Linked DNA regions of Saccharomyces cerevisiae S288C. The gene in region 3 interacts genetically with the main gene of each other region. Each region holds a gene or a part of one and is shown on either strand. Other genes may lie near its edges.

Region 1 (4,968 bases), on a different chromosome or scaffold from region 3:
AGGTGAAGAGGGCGATGGAGACGATAGGGGCGATATGGGATCGTTATTGTGTACTAAGGATAACGAAGCATTGTTGTTATTAAGGGACACGGAGCCGCTTTCGTTGACAGTTAGTTTCAATCCGCAGTAGTGGTATTTGGATTGACCTCTCATACCCAGCCTTCTAGTCGTTAAATCAGGAAAAACTGTTCTTATCAACTTCCCTAATGACGCCTGTGATAAGGGCTTCAGGTTGTTTTGGGAACAAGATGAAGCGTATTGAGCAAATATTTTGCCTCTTGGTACGTAACTATCGTGCTGAGATTTACAATTTTTCATTAACCAAAGTAACGCAAACACTTGTCTTTCTCTTTCTCTGTTTTGTTCCGCCAGCTGCAAAGCTGCCTTTGAAGTGTTCTGTGAGTCCATGCTCAGGACTTTGATTTCTGCATGCTTCACGATCTGCGCATACTCCTCGATGGTTTTAGATTTGTTATTTTCTGCAATTTGCTTAGCAATTATTTCTTGCGTGTTTCTCCTTGAAATGGAAGAGATTCGTTTCTCTTGGCTTGTTTTCTGTTTTTTCGTACTGCTTGGAATTGAGGGGAAGGTATTGGTACGTTTGGCAGCAGTAGGAGGATTATTGTTTAAGGTTTCCTCTGACTTGAAAGAAAGTGGGTAAGCAGATGAATTCGATCTATTCAGGCTGATAGACGCTGGATACACTGAGTATGTGGCAGGTTGCCGTTGTGTTGCGGGTTGTGCAGGAGGCTGTGTAGGGGTAGGAGATGGTTTATGGGAGCCGGGACCACTACCGATAAGTGGCGGTAATATTGGATTTGGCGTCTCCGGGCGGGGGGAACTTTGGTGTAGCAGGCTGTATATTGACGATGATTTGCTCGCTATGGGCGGGATATTCACTGACATGGGGGGCAAATAAGTGTGTGATGCTGGCGGTGGTTGGCTGCTGTACTTGGGTGCGTTTAAACTGTACCGATTACTGTTTACCGAAGATCCGTTACTTGGACCGTTGCTATTGTCGTTCGAGCCCCGACTAGTAGGTTCAATGTTATTATCACCGGACATGGGCAAATAAAATTCAAAATAATGAACAGACAAAAAACTAGGCGAGAAGATGAAGTACTTGGCAGGTATTTTTCTAGTGAAAAGGTTTTCTGTTGGTTTGCGTTCTTTGAAGATTACCATTTACTGCTATTTTTTTTTTCAACTTTTTCCCAAATCGCCATGACAACACGAAACGACAGGAGAAAAATTACGAAATCAAAAACAGGTTCAACTGTTGCAGCAATAGACACCACAAACGTGCGCAAGAAACCGCAACGAAGGGGAGGTGACCGTGCTTGAAATAAAATCCGAAGATCCATAGGTGAGCCACGAGTTTGATTCCAAACTCGTGGTTTTACCAACGAAGCTGTATATCGTGGAGTGGCGCTACCATTGGACCTTCGTTTCTTCTTTCCCTCTTCCGCACCGTACCAGATAGGAAAAACCGCACCTTCGTTTTTGCATACCTAGATGGTCCTGTAACAAGAATAGAGCTAAAGAAACAAGTATGCGTCGACTGCTGCCACGCCCGGCTGATTTAGGTGCACATCAGCTACCCAGCATACAAAGGGGCTTCCGTACGGTTGATGGTTATTTTTCTTGGTGTGTTGGTGCTGCTGTATCGCTGGTGCTGTCTGCGTTATTACGACTATCGTAGGACAAGGCCTCGAGAGGTGTAGGGTAAATCCCACTTGCACAAAGTATGTACACACTTGATTATCCAAATACCAAGAGAGTGTGGTTCAATTTACGGGCAGCTCGAGCTGCCCGTAAATTGAACCTTCCCCTTCCCCACGCTCAAGGGGTTCCTGCGCCGGTGTTTCAGGGGCAGGACACGCGGGGATCGCTGGCACAGTATATAAACAATAAAAGAACAATGGAGAGAGGAGGCGCCATTCAATATCAGCTCACTAGAGTGCATAGACGTATAGACACAGGAATAAAGATAGAAATAGGGTACCATGGAGCTGCCTTCAATAAATAGCACCACAAGTATATCCGACAACCAGGAGTTAAGGAATTACTATGACAAGTTGCTGTTCAAGAACAATAGTGGCAAGTCGCTAGCGGATTTGCCAGGAAAAATGGCAGATTTTAACGACAACAGCGCTGCTGCGCATCCCCGCTCCAGAGTTGACTTTATCAACGGTTACATCGGTTTCAGAGAGGATAAGCAGTCTCTTCTGGGGCAGAAGAACACTAAAAGGGCCTCGTTCAGCGCATTTGCGGACGAAGGAAGGAAACAGAGCGAGATGAGCATTAACGGGAAGAGCCCTAATTTGTCTCTTTTCTCATTTGAGTTTAACGGCACCCCGACTCAGGACAGAAAGCCATACAAACAGGATTACTTGAATGTGATGAACACTTCGCCTAACAATATTCTTTCTCCCTTAAACAACAGCTCCCAAAAATACTATCCACAGAAACAGCAGCAGCAGCAGCAGCAGCAGCAGCAGCAACAGCAACAAAGCATCTTTGACCCGGGAAGAAGATCTTCCTATATTTCTGATGCGCTGATTCATGGCAATGCGGCTACCCAGCAACCACAATACTCGCAACCTGTATATATTAACAACAACCCATCTTTGCAAGTACCATACACTGCTCCTTCCGAGTATACTCAGCAGCAACAGTACTCGTCACCCTTCAATGCTAGGCGCAACACCCAGCCAGTGCTGAACTTGCATCCGGCAGCCGCTCCCACAAACGATGCCGGATTGGCGGTTGTCGACGGCAAGAATTTGACGTCATCCAAGGAGCTGCATGACTTATATCTTGACTGCGGGTCAAACTATTTTGCTAGTGATAAAGTTTATAAATTTATTGACAGCATAAAGGGAACTTTACGCGGGGATAATGTCTCCGCCTCCAGTTCCAGGATTATAGAGTTTTTGGATTTTTTGAAAAATTGTAATCTGAATTACAACCCACAGTCTGACGCATTCATCTCCACTGCTGTTTCAAACGCTTCGTCGACCGGGGCGGCCAAATCCAAGAACAGCACTTCAATGCATTTGCACTATAAGCCATTAGTGTTAGTATCGTTGAAAAATGGTAAGCTCGAACTGTTGTCTAAACCACAAACGGCCACACTTATACTGAAAAGGGGCGATTTGGTCATTATTGATGGTGATCGTGGTAAAGATTTAGTTTTGGTGGTGGAACCGGTTGTAGATATAAATTTGGCACTATTTATAAATTTTTTGAAGAAAAAAATTCACTTTGATTCTCTAATCACCAATAGTCAACAGCATTTCCCCAATGACCAGTTTATCAAGACTCTGGTTGATACAACCAATGGTAAGCCGGTCGCTCATGAGTTGAATCCGAAGTTATATGATATCATTGAACTAACGCAATTGATCATCCCATCAAAGCAGGTTCTGAGATTTGCCACCCCGTGGGAATCCTCCACGAATTTACACAACAAATTCCAGGATGAGCTAAAGGCTCTTCACATTGCACAGCTAAAACTGAGGTCGCTAAATAACAATAACTCCGGTGGCGGGTTGAACATCAAAATATTGAATGCAGAGTTCCAATTCGACAGAAAGAAATTGACTTTCTACTACATTTGCCAGGAGCGTAATGATTTCAGAGACCTGATCAAAGAACTCTTTAAGTTTTACAAAACAAGAATTTGGCTTTGTGCTATACCGAACAATTTATCGATAGATTCCAAATTTTATGATTCAAACAAGTTTGAGTGGGAGATGTATCAGGATATGATGTCCCACTATTCCATGGACAACACTGGAATTGTCGTGGCCCCTGAACTGAATCGCTTGAAACTGGACGACTTCCAGATCGGTGTTTATATGGAATTGGTGAAGGTTTTGTTCGGCTAACCCAAACTTATATAATCATTATAAACATTTTATAAACTTATACACTTTTTTAATAATCTCACCATGTTTTTCTTATGTGTTTTGTTTGACAATGACATTACTCCCTACAAACATGTGCGCGTTTGTGACAAAAACATAAATAAAACAAAAATAATAAAAAGTCAAGTGAAAAGCACTGAAATCTAAAAAATAAATACATATACATATATATATATATATACCTATTTCGTTTCCGCATAGAAGAAATTGGAGGCAACTAGTTGCAGGTTGTTTTCCTTAGCCCATTTGCCAACACCGGTGGCAGGGGTGCCGTAACCCCAGTTCGGTCTATCCTTAATTTTCGAGAACTTAGATGAGTCCACGCCCTTAGGCTGCTTATATAACAAGAAAACATATCTGTGGGGACCGGATCCCTTGGGTGGAGCTGGTCCCATATATTCTATTAGTGTGTTCGAGCCCTTCGTATTGAACTCTGATGCAAAAAATTCGGTTGCTCCGGAGGTCTCGTGAGTAGCCTCATTCAACAGCTTTAAGTCGCATTCTACCAAGTGGCAGAATTCAGACCACTTGTGATCTGTCTTAGAGGGAGCATCCGGATCGGTCATTACCAGTGTGAACAAATCGTCGTCTTGGGGAACGTACGCATTCGCCTGTGGTACGCTTTTTTGCATTTGCTTATTGAACGTGAACTGGAATTGGGGCTTGGAACGTGCCTTCTCAGTGGGCAGCGTGTTACCCATGGCAACAGGTGCACTTGATGAGTACTCTACGGCAAGTATCCCGGAGGGTTGAAAGCTTGTGTCATGAATTACATCCTCCAGAATGCCGTGCTTCTTGTAGGAGTCAATGCTTGCTTGTGCGAAGTCTATTGCTTGGTTCATGTTTTTTGCTTGTTCTCTTGTTCTTGTATTGATGCACTGGTAGGGAAAAGGAGCACTGCAATTCGTTTCTTGCTGCCCCCTTTTTATATACCAATTGAGATCTTTCCTTCCCTGAACAGCCCCTCTATCCCTTAAAAGATAGAAAAGTTCAAAGGGATAGGAAAAATCAACGAGCCAAAAAAAAAAAAAACGGA
Region 2 (8,830 bases), on a different chromosome or scaffold from region 3:
GGAACAGACCAACCGCTATCTTCAGGCAAACCAAACAAGGTAGTGGTAGCATTATCGCCGTCTTTCACATCCTTATTTCCCATGGTTATCCTTAAAACATCCTTATCCATTTTACTTCCAGAAACATTTGGTACGCAATCTAAAACTTCCAAGGCCTTTGCTTCGTATTCAGTAAATAGTAACCTGAGTAACGGAGAAATCAAATCAGCACCGACACCAATAAATTCTGGCCTTCTTAAGTCAATTAAAGGAAAAACATATTTTAAAATTTCCAGAGTTTGAACTCTGATCCATCCTATTTTATTGAACAGAAGACCCAGAAGGAACACTAACGTTTGAGCGGAGTACGAGGGGAAGTAGTTTCTAGATATGAAACTCACTACTTGGCTCATGAAATCTTTCTTTGATCTAAACTTGTTCTTTGCTAGAGAATCTATCAAACGGGAAAGAGAAGGTTGTTTGTACGCATTTGCAAGTTCAATTAACGAATCTGCAGCAACCTGAATGCCCGTAAAATCTTTGCGATCCATTGCATTCAAAAATCTCGGAAGGTTTGCTATTAATGCGAAAAGCAGCCTAGACTCTGTATTTGCTATAATTCGGCTATCTTTCAACAAATTTAACTTATCCAAAAATTTCCACGTAATCTCTAAGGAATTCGCTGATCGCAATCCAGTCATAACTATTTGTTGCAAGCCATCAAAGCGACCTTCCCAATTGGAAGGAAAGATCGCAACCAAACACTGTACGGTATCAGGAGAATCCAAATCGATCTTGGAAATGAATTTACTTAAACATGACAGCACTTCAATGAATTCTTGTTCGTGAATGCTGCTCAAACATGCTGTAATGGACCAAAATAACTGCGGGAAACTGATCAAATTCGTCGGATCAAGTTCGGCCATGATTGCATTCAAAGTCATCAAGATCTGCATGGCAAATCCTTGTATATCGACATTTCCATCCGATATAGTGTTCGAAAGTCTATGAAGCATATCACGCAACATTTCCTGATCTAAAAATGTCAATAATGATCTAAATATTTGAAATGACCTGCACGCTATGTGCCTAACTGAGCAAGTGGTAGCCCACTTCAAGGCAATTCTTTGCCAAGTTACTTGAAATTCATCTAAGTCCGAGAATATAGAGATTATGTTCCTAATTAATAGGTCCATAGTTTTTGGTGATCTTGCACCTTTTTTCATCAAGTTATCATATGACCATAAGGCATGCTTATTTCTTAGTAGTTTCACGGTTTCCTCAGACTTTTCGTGACTTGGTGCCAATCCAAATATTAATGTAGATGCAATTTTACACGCGCTTTCGTGAATAAGCGGCACATAATGGTCAAGCAAGCAAATGGACATATGTAGTAGAAGAGGAATTTTCGCCTTTACAGATTCACTCAAGTTCGTTAACAAATTGACTAAAAAGATAATCGAAAGCTGCGCCTTCGAAAAAATGATTCTTTTCCCATTGTAATTTAGTCGTTCCCAGATATTCCCTAAAAAGGAATACTTATTATTATTCATTGGCTCATTAAACGTATGTTTCGCTAAAGGAACCATGTATTTCGGTTCTAAATTATTCAATAGAGTGTCAAGTAGTCCAATGCCACCAGGAATATTTGCCAAATACAATACAATATCTCTAGCATACTGAACAAACAATGGATTGCAGTGATTCATTGAAGAATTTATGATGTACTCCAGCGATACGTGTATATTTTGGAAAGAATTACCCTTGCCAAGAGAAATCCATAGCTGCTCTACTTCGTTCGGTAAAGAGTCGTTAAGATCAATAGTGATGTAAAATAGGTTATTCAATACCATAAACGTGTCCAACTCTTCTAAAGATTTCAATGTAAATTTGTTTACCCAAGGTACCATAAGCACCAACAAATCTCTTTTTATTTCGAAAGGAAACAAATCAAGTATTCTAACCAAACTGGAAAATATTCTCAAACACAAATCCTGAGAGAGCAGTTCGGCAAATATGCTAGAAATTTCTTTTGCAGTTGATTTGTAAACCGTCTTTGAAGAATTTGCAAGTCTCTCCTTAAATACCTTGGTATAAGAAGAATTATGTAATTTCGTTTCAACAGCTGAAAGTAGATCAACAGCAAATGTCCTTGTATCTTCCTTATCTGCCACTAAACCATACAAACCCAAGGAGACTAATTCATCTTCATCTAAAACCAAATTATCCAATTTCAAAACGGATTTACAAAGTGTAGTGTAATATAAAACAGCTACCGAAGGATGTGAGTGGTGTGAAACACATTGGAAAGCAACATCTCTAAATAGTTTAAAATTTTCCCTATTTTTGTCCAGGAGATTCTCCAAAGCACGCACACCAAGATTTTTTACAGTAGTATTGTCCGAGTCAAATAGTGCTTCAATCCAAGCAAGTAAATCTTCAGTATCGAATGAAATCACAATAGGCAACTCTAAATCATCGTCCAATGTTTGGGTTATTGGATCTGAACATAAAACAACCATAGTCTCTAGCACGATCATCTGCAATCTGTTTTTTTGGAATTCTATTCCAGTTGTAATAGCGGTTCTATCTCTGCCACTCTCTGTATTTTTTATCATTATGGCATATCTTTCTTCAGATATTGGCTCGTACTCACCATAACCACACCATTCCTTCAAGAAATTGAAACATGATGCGCGTGCTTGGAAGGGAAATAATTCATCTATTAGCGGATGCTCTCTTACTGCCATATAGTAGCTCAATATAAGACCTGCAAAGTAGCTTCGCAGCGATTGATATTCGTAGGAGATTTGCACAGAATCCTTCTCGAGGAACTGTTTTGTCTTCTGCAAAAACTCTGATAATTTCCGAAGTATCCATTCGTCATTAAATATCATATCCGATTTTAAGTACGGCGATAAAATCGTCAAAATATGAAACATCTCCACTCTGATTTGGTTGTTGGAGCTCCCTTCTTTCCATGCCACTAAAAATACATCAATTGCCTCCACATATGCTTTAAAAATGTTGATATTCATTGAGCTTAGCCCCGTTATTATAGCATCCCTAATCATAATATACTTTGCATTTAATAAGGGAAGAACCATCTTGAAGATTGATTTCGCAGATTTGATTTTTTGGTGCTGAACAGTAAAGATTTGTTGACTTTTTTTCCTGCCATGCTGAGGAATATTGGACGGAATATGCAGTTTTTGGTCAAACGTGGAAGTTAATGAAGTACATGCGGCAATCAAATATAGCTTCCATTGGTTTACTATTGTTTCCGGTAAAACATTTTTGAGTTTGAAATCAACATCATTTGCTACCCGCAGAATTATTTCGTGTACTTGCACAAGTCTTATACAAACGATAGATCGACACAATGCCATCGCCATAGGACAAGTTTTGAAAACCAACGCCAGTAATTTAGGAAAAGCCCTTTGCCATAGTGCAGCATCTACTCCGTACTCTGATTCGGCCAGTTTGATAAGTAGACCTCTTTTATATTTAGAATTCAGTCGACTGAATCTCGTTTTTTCAACCGCACTTAATGTTGCTTTATGTGGATTAATTAAGGTAGTGGTATTACACTCATTTAATAAATCAATAAGTCTTGTTCCGCGATCAGCTGCAAAATGGGATGATGATCTAGAATGCCCGTTTGACAATTTCTCTGTTTTCTCCATCATCGCTTCGTCAAACTTGAAAATAATTCTCAATATCTGGATGCCCAATCTACGAATTTTTGCATCGTGTGAACAAAGAAAAAATAAGCCATTCCCTTCTACTTCTTCAATAACTGTAACTGTATTTTTCCACTCCAGTTTTTCGGTTTCGTTACTCTCCTCTTGTTCTGCATCGATCGGCAACAAGCGAATTCCATCCAAACCAGTTTCTTTTTTATTTTCCTCTTTATTGGACGATTGGAATTCTTCTAACCAGCATTCCAAAAGCTCAACATAAAGTATCAATAATCTGTTGTACTCCTTTGATGACAAGTACGACATGTTATAACTTGATTGTGTCTTTTCATCGAAATCAAATGAATATTTAGCAAACCATGTGATTAGGGTGTATGGATTCTTCTTAGATGCTAATGCTCTTAGTGCATTTTGACTGCTAGAAGAAATAATTACCTCCGAATGAACAGCGTTCCTTGATAAAATCTCAATTGTAGATTTATATGGGATAGTGCGTGAAATAGAAAGGCAACATGGTATAGCTTCAATGATGGTGCCGAACAATATAACATAAAGCGACTTATTTTTACTTGAGTCATTGTCATTAGAAAAGCTAAAGCCAAATGGGCTGAATGCGTTTGATGATTGCTTTTGGTGCTGATTTTCAGGAGACCAAACTTCAGAACCGATGCTAGAATCCAATAAAAGGAATAATTTATAAAAGTAATCTGATATTTCTGTATGGTTTATGGAAGAGGCTTCTTGAACCTGATTCACTGTAATATTGTTTAAATTTAGTTCATAAAGCCTGTTATCATCCTCAGGAAACCTTGGCCTCTCTTTTGTAACCAGCAATCCTTTGTATGTATTTATAGTCAAAATCAGTTTTTCGTAATTGATATTTTCCAGGTTAGAGCCATTGAAAGATTGCCGTATCAATGGAATTAAAGCTTGTTCCATTAAAAAATTCGGATGTAAAAATCCAATTGATATTAACGCGTCTGTCAATGGGTTCAAGAGACCAAAATCGCCGGTTATCCAATTCTCTTTTTTCCTTGTGTTTAGATATAGTTGTAAAAGCTTGGTAAGCGTCCTTGTAGTATTATTTAAAGTTTCTGGGCATCTATATAAATAGACCCAAACTAATCTGGATAAACCAACTGCAAAGATAATCCTTTCATTCAGACTTTTGGACTTAACTTTTGAGGCATTTGCCTCCAACAACGATAGCCATTGTTTAGAAAATAGGTCTGGTGGTGATGCACACAAAATAGAAACTGTTAATTTGAAACCACTTACCCAATACTTACTATCAGCTTGTAGCCTCTTGGCAGTGTTCAGTAAAGTAGACATTGCCTCTACCCACGTTGGATGATTAACTTCTGCCGTCAACGAGCCAGCCAAAGGCAACAATAGCTGGTTAGTGACTTCAGCATACGCCAAACAAACCGGAAAATTTTCAGTCTTTGCGAAGAACTTTGATAAACTTTTCATGAAATCTGCACTTTCTTCAAATTTCTCCAACGGATAATTTCTTAACTTCAAATATCTCATACCAAGAATCAACAAATGAGTACTTGGCTCTAACTCGGGAGGTATATACGCCGGGATTTTTTCTAGATCAGCTATAAATCGATCACTAACTGACAAAAATTTCTTTTCAGACATAGAGCCCAGTAGTTCGGCAAAAGAATTCCAATTCGAAGACTTAATTAAACTAGTTGATATAGAAAGTGGATCAGTAGTTTTTAACTGAGTAAAAACAATCTCTTCTAGCTTATCAGATAAATCTTCTTCTTCATTGCTGGAAGCCTGCTTAACAATTTCATTTAGCACCCTGCATAGGATGTATATACTAATCAGAGATTTCCTATCTGCAAGGAATGCTTCTTCTTTTGCTACTTCAATTGTGTTCTCTAAACTTTTCAATTGTGAGTTCGCTATGGATGGACTTGAAGTAGCGCTATTGTTACTGCTACTAGCTTTGATTAACGGAACTTTGTTGTTGAAAGATGAGGAAACGTGCCTTTTCATGCCAGGAAGATTATTGGTATTGTTATTATGTTTGTACTTTGAGGTTGTATTACTGGAAGATCTTGATAGCCGCCTATTCATTAAAAAATGAGCCTGCGAGGGATGTGCCTTTTCAAACTCATACTCTTTTAATAGTTTTTCCATTTCTTCTGAAGCAGAGTTGGCCGCTTCAGATTTAGTCTTCCTCCAAAACATCATTGCATCAATCACAGGTTTCGGTTTTTTCTTTGCAATGTGACCTAGAGATTTAATAATTTCATCAAAGCTGGGATCAACGCCTTCACCAAGAATTTCTACAATTGGGGGTTCCGCCATGTCCAACTGCTGTAGACACATATTTAGTTTGTTCTCCGCGTAACGAATAAACTTTGTAAAAAGTATATGAAGAGCATATTCAGAGGGACTTTTCCAATCTGTAGCCATTTGCTGTCTCAAAGTAGTCACGTAGTCCTCTGCTACTGATTTTGCTGTAATGTCCGGCGGTGCTGATTCTTGCATTCTTTGCTGCTTTTGTTCAGGTAGTAGCATTGAAATCTTGTTTTGATCACTTTGCTCCTCAACAAAGGTAGGCGGAAGAGCTTGACCTTCCCCCGTTCCTTGTTGCTGTTGTTGCCGTAAAAGTAATTGATTATTTAGAGAGGTGCCTTCAGACATATCAGTAGGAGATGGAATATCAATAATAGGTGCATCCGTAACGGATTGGTGAAGAGGAAATGTGTTAAGTGGCGCTTCGTTTATTTCCTCCAAGACATCCTGGCCTGAAGGATCAATATCTATTGATATCTGGTTATTGTTGCTAGAACCTTCTGCTTTATTTGTCGGTGGGAAGGTGAAACCAATGCCTTGATCCCTCTGGGGCGGGAAAGTAAATCTCGAGGCCATTTTGATGTATAACAAAACTAAAAAGGGTTATTAAAATGGGAACACAACAAACAACCAGAATTTTCACACTTTAACCAGTCACGTCCTATTATGAAGACCTAAATCCACATTTGCTTTCTCTCTTCATTTGCCTAATCCTTTATCCCAATTTCTACAGTTCTATATGTATTTTCCTGTGTGGCTGTCGTTTCGTGGTTAGTGATACAACCATAACGATTCAACCAACTCCCAATGTATGTGATGTTGATACCGCTAATTTGGAAGGGATGGTATACTCTAGGTGACCTCAATGAGTCAAAGAGAGCTAGGACATACTTCGAGATAGGTAATACCACTTTGCAGCTTCTTTTTAGGCCTTCATGAGTGAGTAGCCAAGAAAAAGTTAAAAGCGGGTAATAGGTATGAATTTTTCAAATACTGAAATTTGGTTTAGTTATTTAAGTGAATTGTAGATTATGTACATTTTACGTGCAATGAAGGAGTCACCTCTATGATCATCTAGTTATTAGCTGTTAGTTTTCATTGAACTTGTTTTAACTGGGAAAAAGCGGAACAATTGGGCCTTACAATGACACCAGACGAACTAAATTCAGCAGTCGTCACCTTTATGGCCAATCTGAATATTGATGATTCGAAGGCCAACGAAACCGCTTCCACAGTAACGGATTCTATTGTACACCGATCAATAAAATTGCTGGAAGTTGTCGTTGCGTTGAAAGATTATTTTCTTTCAGAAAATGAGGTAGAAAGGAAGAAAGCGTTGACATGTTTAACCACTATCTTAGCAAAAACTCCCAAGGACCACCTCTCCAAAAACGAATGCTCAGTAATATTTCAGTTTTACCAGTCTAAGCTTGATGATCAAGCGCTTGCAAAAGAAGTCTTGGAGGGCTTCGCCGCATTAGCTCCAATGAAATATGTCTCCATTAACGAGATAGCCCAACTTTTGAGATTATTATTGGACAACTATCAACAAGGCCAGCATTTGGCATCAACTAGACTGTGGCCATTTAAAATTTTGAGAAAAATATTTGATAGATTTTTCGTCAATGGATCCTCGACCGAACAAGTCAAACGAATCAACGATTTGTTTATTGAAACATTTCTTCATGTTGCCAATGGTGAAAAAGACCCTAGAAATTTACTCTTGTCATTTGCACTTAATAAATCTATCACATCGTCCTTGCAAAACGTGGAGAATTTTAAAGAAGACTTATTTGATGTCTTATTTTGCTATTTCCCAATCACTTTCAAGCCACCAAAGCATGATCCTTACAAGATCTCCAACCAAGATTTAAAAACAGCTTTGCGATCAGCAATTACTGCGACGCCATTATTTGCCGAAGATGCTTATAGCAATTTGCTGGACAAACTCACTGCTTCTTCACCGGTAGTGAAAAATGATACACTTCTGACGCTATTAGAATGCGTTAGAAAATTCGGCGGCTCTTCTATATTGGAAAATTGGACGTTACTTTGGAACGCTTTGAAATTTGAAATTATGCAAAACAGCGAAGGAAATGAAAACACTCTACTAAATCCGTACAATAAAGACCAACAGAGTGATGATGTGGGCCAATATACTAACTACGATGCTTGCTTGAAAATTATTAATCTAATGGCATTGCAACTATACAATTTTGACAAAGTATCATTTGAAAAGTTCTTCACTCATGTATTAGATGAGTTGAAACCAAATTTTAAATATGAAAAGGATTTGAAGCAAACCTGCCAGATTTTGTCCGCTATAGGTAGTGGGAATGTCGAGATATTTAACAAGGTCATTTCGTCAACTTTCCCCTTATTTTTGATCAATACATCTGAAGTTGCCAAACTTAAGCTGCTGATTATGAATTTTTCTTTTTTTGTTGACTCGTACATTGATTTGTTTGGAAGAACATCTAAAGAATCGTTGGGAACACCGGTGCCAAATAATAAAATGGCTGAATACAAAGACGAGATCATAATGATTTTGAGCATGGCCTTGACAAGAAGCTCCAAGGCAGAGGTTACCATAAGGACTCTATCTGTGATTCAATTCACAAAAATGATTAAAATGAAGGGCTTTTTAACCCCAGAGGAAGTTTCACTAATTATTCAATACTTCACGGAAGAAATATTAACGGATAACAACAAAAACATTTACTATGCTTGTTTGGAAGGGTTAAAGACAATCAGTGAGATATATGAGGATTTAGTTTTTGAAATATCATTGAAGAAATTATTGGATTTGTTACCTGATTGCTTCGAGGAAA
Region 3 (6,174 bases):
AGGCCTTGGTAGTACCTTACTAACGCCGGAGAGGATGATTGATACGCATTGAAATCGTACAGAAAACTTGGGGCAAAGCGCTCTTACCCCAATATTCTCACCCAAACAGTGGCAATAAATAAAGAAAAGGTCATCACTTTTTTTCGTACTCTTATCCGTTTTATTTTATTTTATTCTTTTTTTTTGAGTGGAGAATCATTAAGAATAAAGGGTACCTTTTGTAAGCACGATGAACGAAGTTACTTGTTCCATAACTGGTGACAACCCAATTCATAAGATCAACAATGGATTAGGCTTGAAATGGAATAATCTGGGTAAATTCTCTGATTTTCAGACTAACGATAGCGCCGCGCGAGATGCTAGAACAATAGATTACATCTTTACCAATTGTCAAACCGGCAGCAGTATTGGTAAGATAGATTTTCGGGCCGCACTACCGGCAGATAAATCTCAACATAGTGGTGTCAGCGAAAAAGAATTTTCAAGACTTGAGAACCAGTGGTCAAAGGAATTCTCTTGTTTCCCCAAGAATAAAAATGCTGATGTGACCAAGCCCAGTAGAAACAAACATGAGAAACGCTCCGCTAATTTGCACAATAGGTACTTTGCACAATATTATAGTACGGCATATCAGCAAAATCGTATATATCCTTGTCGAATATCTTACAATGAACACTCATCTGTTTCTAATGGCTGGGAATTTCAGTTCAAATCAATCGAAAATCAGTTACTAAATGAGCTAAAGATAGAAAACAATGTAGAAGAAAAAACTGTTGGTTATGAATATGTGGCAGAATACGAAGAAACAATTGATTTCATGCATATGCTGTCATCCGTACCACAAACATATCAATTCCTAAAATCAAACATCTACATAACGGAACGGGACCCATATAAAATAGGATGTGTACTAATGGACAACGGTTCCAATTTGAACGAAGTAGTAATGGCCTTTGAAGCAGCCATTTCACAAGATCCAAGCCATATAAATGCATGGTTGAAGTTAGGTATAGTTAATTTTGAAAATGAAAGCGAAAGCAATGGAGAGCTTGCTTTGCGAAATTGCTTAAATTTGGATCCAAATAATACAATTGCATTGGAAAACTTAGCAATTCACCATATAAATCAACAAAATGAATCAGAGTCATTGAAACTTTTTCACAAATGGATTCTTTCAAAATTTTCGAAGGTTTTCCAACCTTCTGCGGGGGAAAACAAAGATAGCATTAATAAAATTCCGAAAAAGGCCCATTTGGCGCATATTCTAGAATCCCTGTTGAATATGGGTATAGAAAAAAAAGATCAGTATGATATATATTCAGTATTATCAATCTTATATTATTCGGATCAGAAAATAAAGCAATCTCAGAAATGCTTAGAGTTTTTACTACTGGAAAAGCCCAATAATGGAACAATATGGAATAGATATGGTGCTATTTTGGCCAATACTAAGTCGTATCACTCTGCGATAAATGCGTACAATAAATGCAAACAACTAAGACCGAATTTTACAAGGGTTCGTTATAATTTAGCGATCGCCTACATGAATAAGGGTGACTATGTAAAAGCAAGCAAAATGCTAATCGAAGTTATACTGTTACGAAGTAAAGGATATGAACACAACAAAGCAAAAATGCAAAACAAATTTATGCAAAATTTAAAAAATGCTCTCATCGCTTCAAAAAATTTTGATTCACTTGATCTAATAAATGGTTCTCATAATACAGAATCGTTAATATCAACCTTAAAAGCTATTTATAACAAAATGGATTAGGTTTTAGTTAATTTTTTTGCTATATAGTGCATTCAAAATAAAAAAAATTAAAGCTGAAACAAACCAAATATGCTATTGGACGTTCGAAAAGCTAATTGCGTAAAGGAACACTAAACACAGCAAGCTTATGCTAGTTCTTCTCAAAAATATAAGTTCCTCTTGCAAGAATATGAAGGTAATTTCACTTTATCGCGCAAGTGCATATTTCTGAGTTTACTATGTGCTTCGTCTGAAACCTCTCATTATCTACTTAATATCGGCTATTCATCTCACGTATTCACGTAATATTTGATTTTTGTACTACTATTTCTCTCTGTCATACGTGCATGATACATTTCCTTGTTCAAATTAAAAGAGTCACCGTCAGCCTCTCAAAACAAAGAAAAAAGATACCCGGCTGAACATGAGTATCAATCATGAAATATATTATATACTTGTATTTGAGCATCGTTCAGTAGCAATCAAGCTCATCATCGTAGTGATTGTTCTCCTTCAGTTTTTTTTAGCACGAAGTCGGCAAATTGATAGGACATGGGCCCATACTAATAGAAAGGAACGGTTCAGAGAAATGACAGCTATCGGGAATACTGATGATGCACTTGATACTAGTACAGCCGCAAGTAAAGAAAATGGAAAAGGTAGACTCAGGGTTCAAAAAGCTTGTGAACTTTGCAAGAAGAGAAAGGTTAAATGCGACGGTAACAATCCTTGTCTGAACTGCTCTAAACATCAAAAAGAATGCCGTTATGATTTCAAAGCTACAAACCGTAAAAGAAGAAGACGACAGGTCGCATCAGCTGTTCGGGACGTTAGTAAGACATATGCAGAAACCAGTGAGTCTTTTCCTAGGGACTTGTTAAGTAAATCAAATATTATCATAAATGCCCCCTCAGATGGTGTATCTTCGTCTGCTAGCAACTCTCCCAATCCAAATTCACATTATCATCATATATCATCCACTTTACCCTTCATGAGCGGTAGGCCAAACCATACATTCCATTCCGGAAGCAACTTAAATGGAGAAAATAACAATAACAGTTTTCCGGAGGATCACATGGCTAAATTACTTCTGCAATTGAGTTCAAAATTGGGGAATACGACCAAGGAATCGTCAATTAGAACAACTAGAACCAATGCTAGTGATGTGAATGCAAACCCGACAGTGGTCAACATGAAAAATAGTCAGGAAGACTGTGACACGAATCACAGGTCTGCAATATGTGACTCTGCAGAGGCTCTTCATAATAACAACATCAATTCTAAAGAGAATAAGATAATCAACTCTCAAATAACTAACACTGTTAATGATCACTTTGAATCACCCTGGCAGACATTTTCTTTAGATAAGTATAGGTTTCACCGACGCTACCAAAATATTCTGCCCTATTACCTTGGTGTATCTATTTTAAAGGATCTATCTCCGCAGACAATAGAGTACGCGAAGTTGAAAAGGCCAAGAGTTCAAAACTATGGTTGGAACTTGTCAGGAGGCCATTACTTAAAGTATAAGGGTGACTTTAGAAGCCAAGAAAAAAATATAAGGCATGAGTCTAAATTTTTCGACTTTGATGACCCTGTTCACTTATCCTTAATCAATAAGTTACTAAGGTATTATTTTGATGAGATCAATCCTGTTTTCAGTATCATTCACGAAGCGACATTTTGGCAGCAATATAACAATAAATTTCTACGGCAAGGTAAACAAAATAATTCATCTGCGAATCTATTCACTTCCATGCTTTATCTAATTTTGTCTACTACACTAAGATTCAGAGAAGGGCATCTAGATGGTCAGAAAGGGCAAGGAACCTACAGTAACACATCCTTAAATATCACATTCGAGGAAAAATCTATTTTGATCAAAAAACCCTCCATAGAGGAAAATTTATTCAAATACGCTTATTTAATAATCAACACGCTGACCTTTGAGTGGGAATCATTCGAACTAATACAATCGTGGCTTTTGATAACCTTCTATTTCAGAACCTGTTACAGACAGACGGCGTGCTGGAACGCGTTAAGTCAAGCGGTGAACATGTGTAATGGGATGAGTCTATATTTAAACAAATTTCCTGAGATCCATTCCACTTATGATGAATCAAAAGCATGGCATTGTTTCTGGTGTTGTTTTATAATGGATAAGTTGATAAGTTTTCAAATGGGTCGATTCTACCAACTATCATTACCCGCGAGCGAGATGTGCGAACAGATGAATCTAGTGAAGTCAAAGAAATTTTTACAAGAAGAAGATGATTGGTTTCACGAAGAGACTTTTCAAATGCTTGATTTGTCCATAATAGTGACACAGTTTTTAAAAAGAGACGCACAGGATTTAAATTTGAACGAGACCGTGCAATTGCGCAGCCAACTTGGTCAATGGTATGACACCTTTATAGTTGGAAGTCAAACCAATGCGTACGACGACAATTATCGTTACTTCTATCAAGTTCAACCATTCATGACATACCTGGATATAAGGCTGACTTTCGAAGTAAGACAATTATTTTGTCTAATCGCCCCCTCATCTACCGCAAATAATAAATCCCTAGAATATGTCGTCGATACTGAATTGTTAATTTCTCATTGTCAAATGGCTATTGAAAATTTGGCTGAAATTACGAGAAGTAATCTTTTCTTTGTTCCGTGGTGGTTAAACCTTTCTCAACTATTCACGGTAAATTTAATATGTATTATCTACCTGCACGCAGGGATTGCCGTAACTCAAAATAAAGCTATCATGCAAAGCTGCCAAGAAATATGGCGAACCTTAGAGTGCTCTAAGCCAAAAAATCGGCCTTCAATGCTTCCTGAGTGCTTGTGGTGTTTGAAAATGCTGAATCATATGTTCTGCATACGACTGAGAGATTCTGCTTTGCAATTGGAAGCTACTCTCGGAACTGATCATGGTGATGACACCCCTAATAGAAATAAGTTTGAGCAGTTCAAGAAAGTTGGCGATAATGATGCGGATGTTGAAGTTGATGCTGGTGAAAGAGAAGAAAATGCTGATGAAAGACAAGAAAATCCACATAACAATAGCAAAAGAGTACCATTAGCTACTAGGTCTCATAATACCACTAACTTCGACGGTTCAATCGCAATTTCTCCGGAAAGTGCAGTAGCAAATCTAGGTACTGATACTGGATTGCCCTCAGATGTTCTTGATACTGTCAGTAAAATAGGGAACTCTCCTAATGTGTTTGATGATGATTTATTTTCCAATTTATTATGGTTTGACCAAAATTTTGCATAAGGATTCTTTTTCTATTCCATAAAACCATTTTATGGACACGTTTACCTACATATTATTATATTGTATATAAGATGTTGAAAAAATTGAGTCAACCTCACCTTACCACATGTTGGTCCGTTGCTATGACAAACTCTCGTTTTACAAGAAGGAGGCTCAAATTTCGGGTCACCCACCCATATACGGATGTCACGCTATGAGATCTTTTAAACAATAGACAATTTTTGGTATCCTAAAGATATAAAAGAGGAGTTTTTTTAAACCATGGTAACTATTTTCAAATTTGCTCTGCTGCAGTTTTTTATTTCTGTTTTTCTTTTTTTGTTCCCAACAAGAAGTGAGTTAATAAAGGCAAAAACAGTGGTCGTGTGAGAATGAATACAGTTTCACCAGCCAAAAAAAAGGTTATTATAATTGGTGCCGGTATTGCTGGGCTTAAAGCTGCATCTACGCTACACCAAAACGGTATTCAAGATTGTCTTGTTCTTGAGGCCAGAGATCGGGTCGGTGGTAGGTTGCAAACTGTCACAGGCTATCAAGGTCGGAAATATGATATAGGTGCTAGCTGGCACCATGATACGTTGACAAACCCTTTATTTTTGGAAGAGGCTCAACTGAGTTTGAATGATGGGAGAACGAGGTTTGTTTTTGATGACGATAATTTTATTTATATCGACGAAGAACGTGGAAGGGTAGACCATGACAAGGAACTGCTTCTTGAAATTGTGGACAATGAAATGAGCAAATTCGCAGAGTTAGAATTCCATCAACACTTAGGAGTTTCAGATTGCTCCTTTTTTCAATTAGTAATGAAATACTTACTACAAAGACGCCAATTTCTCACAAATGACCAAATAAGATATTTGCCACAACTCTGTCGATATCTGGAATTGTGGCACGGCTTAGATTGGAAGCTTTTGAGTGCCAAGGATACATACTTCGGTCACCAAGGAAGGAACGCCTTTGCTTTGAACTATGATTCTGTGGTTCAAAGAATTGCTCAAAGCTTTCCTCAAAATTGGTTAAAGCTAAGTTGTGAAGTGAAATCAATTACACGAGAACCTTCAAAAAATGTGACAGTGAACTGTGAAGATGGTACTGTGTACAATGCTGATTATGTTATTATTACAGTACCTCAAAGTGTATTGAA

The links. Genes that interact genetically often act in the same process or in processes that back each other up.
Region 1: mutations in STB4 (region 3) and YLR177W together harm fitness more than expected from each alone (negative genetic interaction), as found in Saccharomyces cerevisiae (one large-scale study listed by BioGRID).
Region 2: mutations in STB4 (region 3) and TAO3 together harm fitness more than expected from each alone (negative genetic interaction), as found in Saccharomyces cerevisiae (one large-scale study listed by BioGRID).

Annotation. Positions count from the first base shown.
Region 1 is NC_001144.5:509,048-514,015, forward strand, and holds YLR177W (uncharacterized protein), read left to right. Parts: upstream 1-2,006; coding exon 2,007-3,893; downstream 3,894-4,968. Other genes in the region: RFX1 (Rfx1p), read right to left, coding at 1-1,185; TFS1 (Tfs1p), read right to left, coding at 4,115-4,774.
Region 2 is NC_001141.2:106,663-115,492, forward strand, and holds the start of TAO3 (Tao3p), read right to left. Parts: upstream 6,576-8,830; coding exon 1-6,575. Other genes in the region: MET18 (Met18p), read left to right, coding at 7,144-8,830. UniProt on the Saccharomyces cerevisiae protein: Seems to play a role in cell morphogenesis.
Region 3 is NC_001145.3:309,979-316,152, forward strand, and holds STB4 (Stb4p), read left to right. Parts: upstream 1-2,177; coding exon 2,178-5,027; downstream 5,028-6,174. Other genes in the region: PEX9 (Pex9p), read left to right, coding at 230-1,774; FMS1 (polyamine oxidase), read left to right, coding at 5,399-6,174. UniProt on the Saccharomyces cerevisiae protein: Binds to SIN3.